2 linked regions of the Arabidopsis thaliana genome follow. The protein of the gene in region 2 interacts with the protein of the main gene of each other region in a pairwise test. Each region holds a gene or a part of one and is shown on either strand. Other genes may lie near its edges. The genes, in order: CA1 and ABCG23.

Region 1 (3,927 bases), on a different chromosome or scaffold from region 2:
CTCTAATCAGTTTTGATATTTTGGTGCCAGGGATGCAGATTCCTTTGATCTTAGGAAGAAGCTACCACTTTGTGTTGGGCTCTTACTACGGTTACTGAAAAAGAACCATCGTGTCTTTGTAACTTGTACCACTGGTTTTGACCGGTCATCCGCTTGTGTGATTGCTTATCTGCACTGGATGACTGATACCTCTCTTCATGCTGCTTATAGTTTCGTTACTGGATTGCACGCTTGCAAACCTGACAGGTTTTTATCCATCTTATCTCTGTCTTGACCATTAACCTGCAGACCATGGATAGCTTTTCTGTTTTAATGAAAACATCAGACAAGTTATATGTATTTTTTCACAGACCTGCAATTGCTTGGGCAACATGGGATCTTATCGCTATGGTGGACGATGGCAAACATGATGGGACTCCAACACACTCTGTAACCTTTGTGTGGAATGGACATGAGGTGACTGTTGCTTCACATGCTTTTATTACTTTGCTGCAATTCTTTATGGAACTCGTGATCTGTAGGGTTGAGCAACTAGCCTCTGTGTTTTAAGTTACACCTTGGTTTACAGGGGGAGGAGGTATTGTTGGTTGGGGATTTCACAGGAAATTGGAAAGAACCGATAAAAGCAACGCACAAAGGCGGTCCACGTTTTGAAACTGAAGTTAGACTTACACAGGGAAAGTAAGTCATGCTTCTTTTACCTTTCCCGTTGATGCTTTTTTTAAGGTTCAACAGTAAAACGTCTCATAATCTTCCCTGCATGTTAATTGTGACTTTTGAGGGATTGCAAACTGCAAAGAAACTTATGAAAATGCATTTGTGTCATATAACTTGGTGATTATTGACAATGTGGCAGATACTACTACAAGTACATAATCAACGGTGATTGGAGGCATTCAGCAACTTCACCAACGGAAAGAGATGACCGAGGAAACACGAACAATATAATTGTAGTTGGTGATGTTGCTAACGTCAGGCCTACAATTCAACAACCAAGAAAGGTTACTCCTACTATGCAGTAGTCTCTTCTTCATACAATAGGAAAAGCTTGAATAAGATGTTCCACGTTATATTTGCCTGATTGGTTCAAGACATAAACCTGAAGCAACTTGTACAATGTTTTGCAGGATGCAAATATCATAAAGGTGATCGAGAGAGTGTTAACAGAGAGCGAAAGATTTAGGCTGGCGAAAGCAGCTCGGTGTATCGCATTCTCAGTTTGTCCAATAAGACTATGCCCAAAGTCGTAGAAGTTTTGTTTTGGCATAAGTTAAAATGTTACATCCATTCTTCTGTCTCTATCCATTCCTCGAGGTACTTAACCCTAATATCGTTGTGAACAACATTGCCACATTCGCGCACTCTATGACAAGAGAATGTTGACATTATGTTGTGTGTTTGCATGAAAAAATGTCGACATAGTTTCGCCGTTGCCCACTTTACATATAAGTCCCAAAACCAACCCTAATGCGTTACTGGTCTCTGTATTTCTTCTTCATTTTCTCTCTCTCTCTCGCTCTCTCCTAACATGTTGAAGAAAATAGAAACTCTGTTATCTAATGTTGCCTATATGATGATTTATGGCCATGGAAGGTCTGAGAGGAGAGACCCTTCTTCTCTATTTTTTTTATTTCCTCTTCATTTTCATGCTAAGAGTTTTCACTGAGTCTGTTGTTTCGTAGAGTAGAACAGTCCATGATCGATGTTAATCCTTTGCATCTTCTAGATTGTGTATACAATAGCAATCTCTGGTCTAGAGAGAGCCTAGAGAAGTATGGATCTTTCTATATGTATACCACAAACAAATGGCCTAACATCTAAAGTGGGTGGTGATTATTTAAGATGAGAGCCTGAGAGGGTAAGTGAAAGAGGCTGATCCTTGTTTTCATGATAAGGGACCTTATCCTCTAAACCTTTCTGAGACCTTTTATTTTTTTATAAAAAAAAGAATTGAAAGAAGAAAAGAGCACGTAAAAGTTTTGAAATCTTGAGCTAATATTCCTCATCCACAAGAAAAGAAGAAAGTTTGTTATTCACCGCAGCTATCGCTTTCGTTATCCTCGTTCCCACAACCTCACCATGACCATGAGACTCCGTTCTTTTAAACTCCCAAATCTTTCAACCAATCCCATTATTCACTTAAGTATATAGTAGCTTCCATAAGAGTCTTAGTTCTAACTATAAATACACATATCTCACTCTCTCTGATCTCCGCTTCTCTTCGCCAACAAATGTCGACCGCTCCTCTCTCCGGCTTCTTTCTCACTTCACTTTCTCCTTCTCAATCTTCTCTCCAGAAACTCTCTCTTCGTACTTCTTCCACCGTCGCTTGCCTCCCACCCGCCTCTTCTTCTTCCTCATCTTCCTCCTCCTCGTCTTCCCGTTCCGTTCCAACGCTTATCCGTAACGAGCCAGTTTTTGCCGCTCCTGCTCCTATCATTGCCCCTTATTGGGTATACATTTTTACATTCATCACTGTTTCTTAACCTACATTATTTCTTACATAACTTACATTGCTGTTTACGTATAATAGGGGTACATTACATAGATAGCAAACTAAAGTTACAGAATTTTAAAATTTGTAAAGATTTTACGAAATTATTATATAGATTCTGCAATTGCCATTTTAGTGATAGGAACAAAAATCTTCTATAGAAACTAGCTTACGAAACTTCCACAAATCTTGGAAACTGTCACATGTGTTTCACATTTCAGTTTTTTTTTCCCTTGGTATTTCCTTATATTATCCTTACTATTATCATCCGTGTTTGACTTTTGGTCTTTAGCGTGGTACTGAAAGAATTACCCAAATTAACAAGAATCAAACTAAAGTTGCTTAATTAGTGAATCACAAGCAAGGGAAGAGTTCATTTTCAATCCTTATTCTATACAGATCTTCAAACTACTTGCTTCGACATCTAGTGAAGTTAAAAACAAATCACCTCGAAATATTAAAAGCGTTGTCTCATTCCTACCCAAGATCCGACATTTTTGAAATTTTGAGAGTTAGAACGTACGTAGGATCCACGTGATAAAAGAAAAGTTGCTAGTAGTAGCTTCAACAAAAACGATTCATGAAACTGAGACGTGTGTGTATGCACATGTACCATATGAGAGCGTGTGGAGCATAGTGGTGATTAAGTCGCCATCTATATTTATTCATTCAACCTACCGATTTGGTTCCTACTAGCGAAAATAAAATCATAATATAAAAGACTATAAAATTGTACTTTATCGTATAATGAAGTTCTGAACAGGTTGATTGTAGTTTCAACATTTAAAACACGTCATGACTCGCTCTCTACTTAATTACGTTCACGACAATAAAATATACTAGTACTCATTTTCTTCTAATTTTATTTGGTCAACCAACTTGCAGAGTGAAGAGATGGGAACCGAAGCATACGACGAGGCTATTGAAGCTCTCAAGAAGCTTCTCATGTAAGTATATACATCTTTTCTATTCGCATGCATACATTAATACATGATTAGATTAATAAAAGCTAAAACATTATTATAAATTAGTAACGGGATTTTTCAATACTACTTAATTCATAATTTTTGTGATTTAACTATAAATGTATATAAACATATGGCAGCGAGAAGGAAGAGCTAAAGACGGTTGCAGCGGCAAAGGTGGAGCAGATCACAGCGGCTCTTCAGACAGGTACTTCATCCGACAAGAAAGCTTTCGACCCCGTCGAAACCATTAAGCAGGGCTTCATCAAATTCAAGAAGGAGAAATACGAGTAATATATATTTCTATTTCATTTGTTTGTTCTTAATTATGTCACCAACTAAAGTGGTCTAGATTAATTAACTGGTTCATATTTATACTTTTATTTGCAGAACCAACCCTGCTTTGTACGGTGAGCTCGCAAAGGGTCAAAGTCCTAAGGTAAATTAAAAATAAAACTAATACTATGT
Region 2 (3,927 bases):
AGTTGTAATTGTATATGAACATAGAAGACTGAATACAGTTCTCCCTATACAATGAAATCTTTAATGGGTTGACTTGGAAGCCTTCCTGAGTAGAATACCCCAGCAGAGGATTCGATAAAAAACGAAAAAGGCAAGCATGATCCCGACGTTGATCCATCTCGTATCCTTGTCAAGCCCTCTCTCCTTCAACACATCCTCTCCGGTCATCAAGCAGCCCATGTTCCCACTGGAGAAGCATTCCTCTCGCATGCTCCAGTACTCATTCACCACCATAGACTCCAGCGGGTAACGGTACAAGGACACATAGTACATGAACATCCATGGTTTTGGGATCTTCTCTTTTGGGATAAAGTAGCCGGAGAAGAGGAAGAAGGCTCCAAGAACAGTGCATATGAGGGAGTTACCAGAGATGAAGTCAGGAGAAACAGCGCTGAGGAAAAGCACCAGAGAACTGGCCATGAGAATGATGAGCCAGACGCAGAGGACAAAGAAGGAGAAGGCTTGAATCGATGGGTTTAGGCCTACGATCCAGTAGACTGGGATGGAGAAGAGGAGAGATACAACGAAGAGGAACGGTACAAATGCGATGGTGTTGGCTATCATGTAGGATGAGATTCGGTAGGATCCACGAGATGATTCTTTCATCAGAACGCGACGTTCTCGGAGGTAAATGGGAAGTGCTTCGACTGTTGAAGAGAGGAGGAAGCTTAAGCTGAAGGCAAAGAGTCCAAGCCGCTCTGCAACGCCTTCTTCGTCACGCTTGAGTCTTGTGTAGACGCTACCTAGACCTAATCCAGCTACAACCGCTTGCATTGTTCGCGCCAGGAACAACTGCTTTGTTCTATAGATGATCTTGCAGAATCTTGAGCAGAGGTATGAGATCTCGGTGACGTCTAGGACACGAAACGCTTCTTTCTTAGAGATAATCCCATCGTTTTCGTTGTTTTCAGGCCACATTGATGATGATTCTACGACAGCTACCGAGTTTGGCTTAAAAGTTCTCAAGGACTCAACTATTTCCATGGCGAATTCTATAGGATTCAGCTGTTCTGGAATCTGAAACCCTAGTTTCGCTATCGAGTCCTCGAGATGTTCAAGACTTCCCAAGTGGATAACCGATCCGCGAGAAAGAATCAGGTAATCGGAGATGTAATCGAGGATCCTATAACTTGGTTGGTGGATGGAGAAGAGGACGGTTCTCTGTTTGGATTTCGCCATAGTAGCCAAAAGCTCAACAACCTGAAGCGAGTTTCGACTATCCAAACCAGAGGTTGGTTCGTCAAGAAGCAGAATTGGTGGATCACGAATCATCTCAACGGCTATAGAGACTCTCTTCCTCTCTCCACCCGAAACGCCACGATCCTCTTCGTCTCCTTCTCCCACGAAGCTGTCTTGGACGAGAACAAGACCGAGATCACTCAACAAGCTCTCCACTCTCTCTTCTCTTTCCTTAGCCGTTGAATCTCTCAAACTGAATTTGGCGCTATACATTAACGTCTCTTTCACGGTAAGTAGAGGCAGTAGGTCATCGTCCTGCGGGACAAACCCGCATAGCCTTCGTAGTTGGTTATAGTCAGTGATTTTACGATTGTTCATCAAAACCGCGGAAGACGGATCTAGTGCCTTGTGGTTCACTCTTCCTGAAATGATCTTTAAAAGAGTGGATTTTCCTGTTCCACTCGGTCCAACCACGGCTAGGATTTTAGAGGATTCAGCAGCTAATGAAACGGAATTGAGTATTGGGGTGTGATTGATGGTGTAGGATAGGTTAGTGACGGTTAAAGAGTAGCGGTTAGGGGTTGGGAGTGGTGAAGAAGAAAAGGAAGAGGAAGCAGAGGAGAATTCATCAGGAGAGTTTGATGCTGAGAAAAGAATGATGGAGTCTTCCTCGCGGTGGCTTGTAGCCATAGCAGAAGGGTGGAAGCAGGAAGCCATGGTATGAGTATTGTTGTTCTTCTTCATATCAAAAAGGTCTACTAATGCTTTTTATGTATGAGTAAAACTTTTTTTTCAGAATTGGTCGACCAACAAAAGAAACAAGTGTTTAATGTGGTAGGCAGAGGTTGGTGCAACTCTTCAAAACCTGTGTATCTAATTCTTTTTGGTTGGTCATTAATTGTTTGATTTTGCTGAGTTTATCGTATAAGATAAATTTATCTTACATATATGTAAACGGTATTAGTGGTTGACCAGGAATAAAGAGTATTGGTGTATCAAACAAAAAGGTAACGTGTTAAATTCATTACTAAAATGTACTTTCCAATGGTATCAACATGCTAATTGTATTCCGTCATGAGAAATTCATGATGTCAAAAGAATGAATCTGAAAATAGATTTTGATACAAAATTAATTGCATTTAAGATAGCATTCGTAATAATTTGTATATACCAAAGGGGCATTAAATGATTTTGTTAAAAAAAGAAGCCTATTAAAAAAATACAGTATTATGATGTTAAGAAGCATATCATTTAAATTTGCCCATAGACATCTAAAATGTATAAGCTCGCACTGACACCATACCATTAATGCTGTTTGAATTTCAACATCAAATAATAACATTTATCGAGACAAAGAACGAAACAATGTATGCTTGTGGAATTTACAAAAGAATTTACATATGAAAAACACCCAAACTATGATGAAAACTATTTTCTCTCTTGGTTATAATCCCCAAATAAACCTATGAAACCCGTAGACAGAAACTAAAAAAGAATAGATGAGTGGGAAACTCAGGGTTTTCTGTGTTATCAGGGGTTAGCGAAGAATATTAATGACCCAAGTCTTCACTTCCTACACCCACACTGGATTTATCAACTACTATGCGTACATTGTATTGTTCGTAAACTCTTCCTCTGTTCTCTGCCCACCATTCTTCTGCTTGTTTCTCACTAAACCGCTTCCGGCTGCCATCAAAGACATCCTCGGATTAAGCTCATTTCATAACCAATAAAAAGGAGCATCCAAACATTCCAGCTAAGACTATAAAACAAAAAAAAAGCATTCTGGTACCTGAAACGGACACGTTTGAGATCCCTTGCACCTCCAGCTAAGGCTGTGAGAGTGATGTACACACCAGGTTCATCTTGTTCAACCCATTCATTTTCGTTACGGGGTTCACTTTCTTTTGATCGTGTGCTGATTCTATTTATCGCTTCAGCAGCATGATTAGCTTGCTGTCGGTAACTTCCACTATCGAAAACAGGTGTGCTGGTCCCATTTGAAAACATTGGGACGGTGGTTAGGCTATCAGAATCAGTTTCTCGACTGTTTGGACGGTTTAAGGTGTTAGAAGAAGGGGCAGCGTAATCAGGACTGGAACCAAATGAATTGAGAGACGGAGACTTGACAGTCCGAGCTGATCCAACAGGTAGTCTTTCAGCCATGTCTTTCAACTGCATGTTTTATTGAGAAAATCAGTAAGTTGCATAGAGCATTTTCATTCATTTTAACAGCAGAGAGGAAACTTTGGAATTTACTTGAGCGGTAAGTGATTTGATCACTTCTTTTGCTGCCTTGCATCTCGCTGATTCTTCACTAGCAATTGCTAGTGCCTCCTTTAGCTGTTTGGTTGTTCTTTCCAGTTCAACTTCTTGAAGTTGTGCCTTCCGTGTAAGATTTTCAACCTGTGAAATCATTTACTACTGAGTTCGCAAAAGGAGTCAAATTGCAAAGAATGAAACGATATGTTAATGAAACAAAATAGCACAATCTCACCAGCTATGTTTTTTTCCTAAATACACAGGAGTAAGGAACAAGAATTAAAGCGTGGAAAGCAGCTTACTTGAGATCTTAGCATAACCACCTCTTGGCTTAGGTTATCATTGCTTCTCTTGGTATCATCCACGACAATTTTTGGTGTAGTTAGTCCTGAAAGAGTGGGAGTTGGCGTTGTTGACCGAGGTGGGCTAGGACGTCTTGATATTGGT

What was found.
Region 1: the proteins of ABCG23 (region 2) and CA1 interact in a protein complementation assay, tested with the Arabidopsis thaliana proteins (one large-scale study listed by BioGRID).

Annotation. Positions count from the first base shown.
Region 1 is NC_003074.8:196,178-200,104, reverse strand, and holds the start of CA1 (carbonic anhydrase 1), read left to right. Parts: upstream 1-1,944; 5' UTR 1,945-2,231; coding exon 2,232-2,453; intron 2,454-2,540; exon of another isoform or gene 2,541-3,257; intron 3,258-3,379; coding exon 3,380-3,441; intron 3,442-3,599; coding exon 3,600-3,749; intron 3,750-3,849; coding exon 3,850-3,898; intron 3,899-3,927. Other genes in the region: LSF1 (uncharacterized protein), read left to right, coding at 31-246, 351-456, 569-681, 857-1,001, 1,128-1,250. UniProt on the Arabidopsis thaliana protein: Reversible hydration of carbon dioxide. Required for photosynthesis in cotyledons. Binds salicylic acid.
Region 2 is NC_003076.8:6,545,177-6,549,103, forward strand, and holds ABCG23 (ABC-2 type transporter family protein), read right to left. Parts: upstream 2,002-3,927; 5' UTR 1,963-2,001; coding exon 61-1,962; 3' UTR 46-60; downstream 1-45. Other genes in the region: AT5G19420 (Regulator of chromosome condensation (RCC1) family with FYVE zinc finger domain-containing protein), read right to left, coding at 2,769-2,904, 3,011-3,393, 3,478-3,624, 3,783-3,927.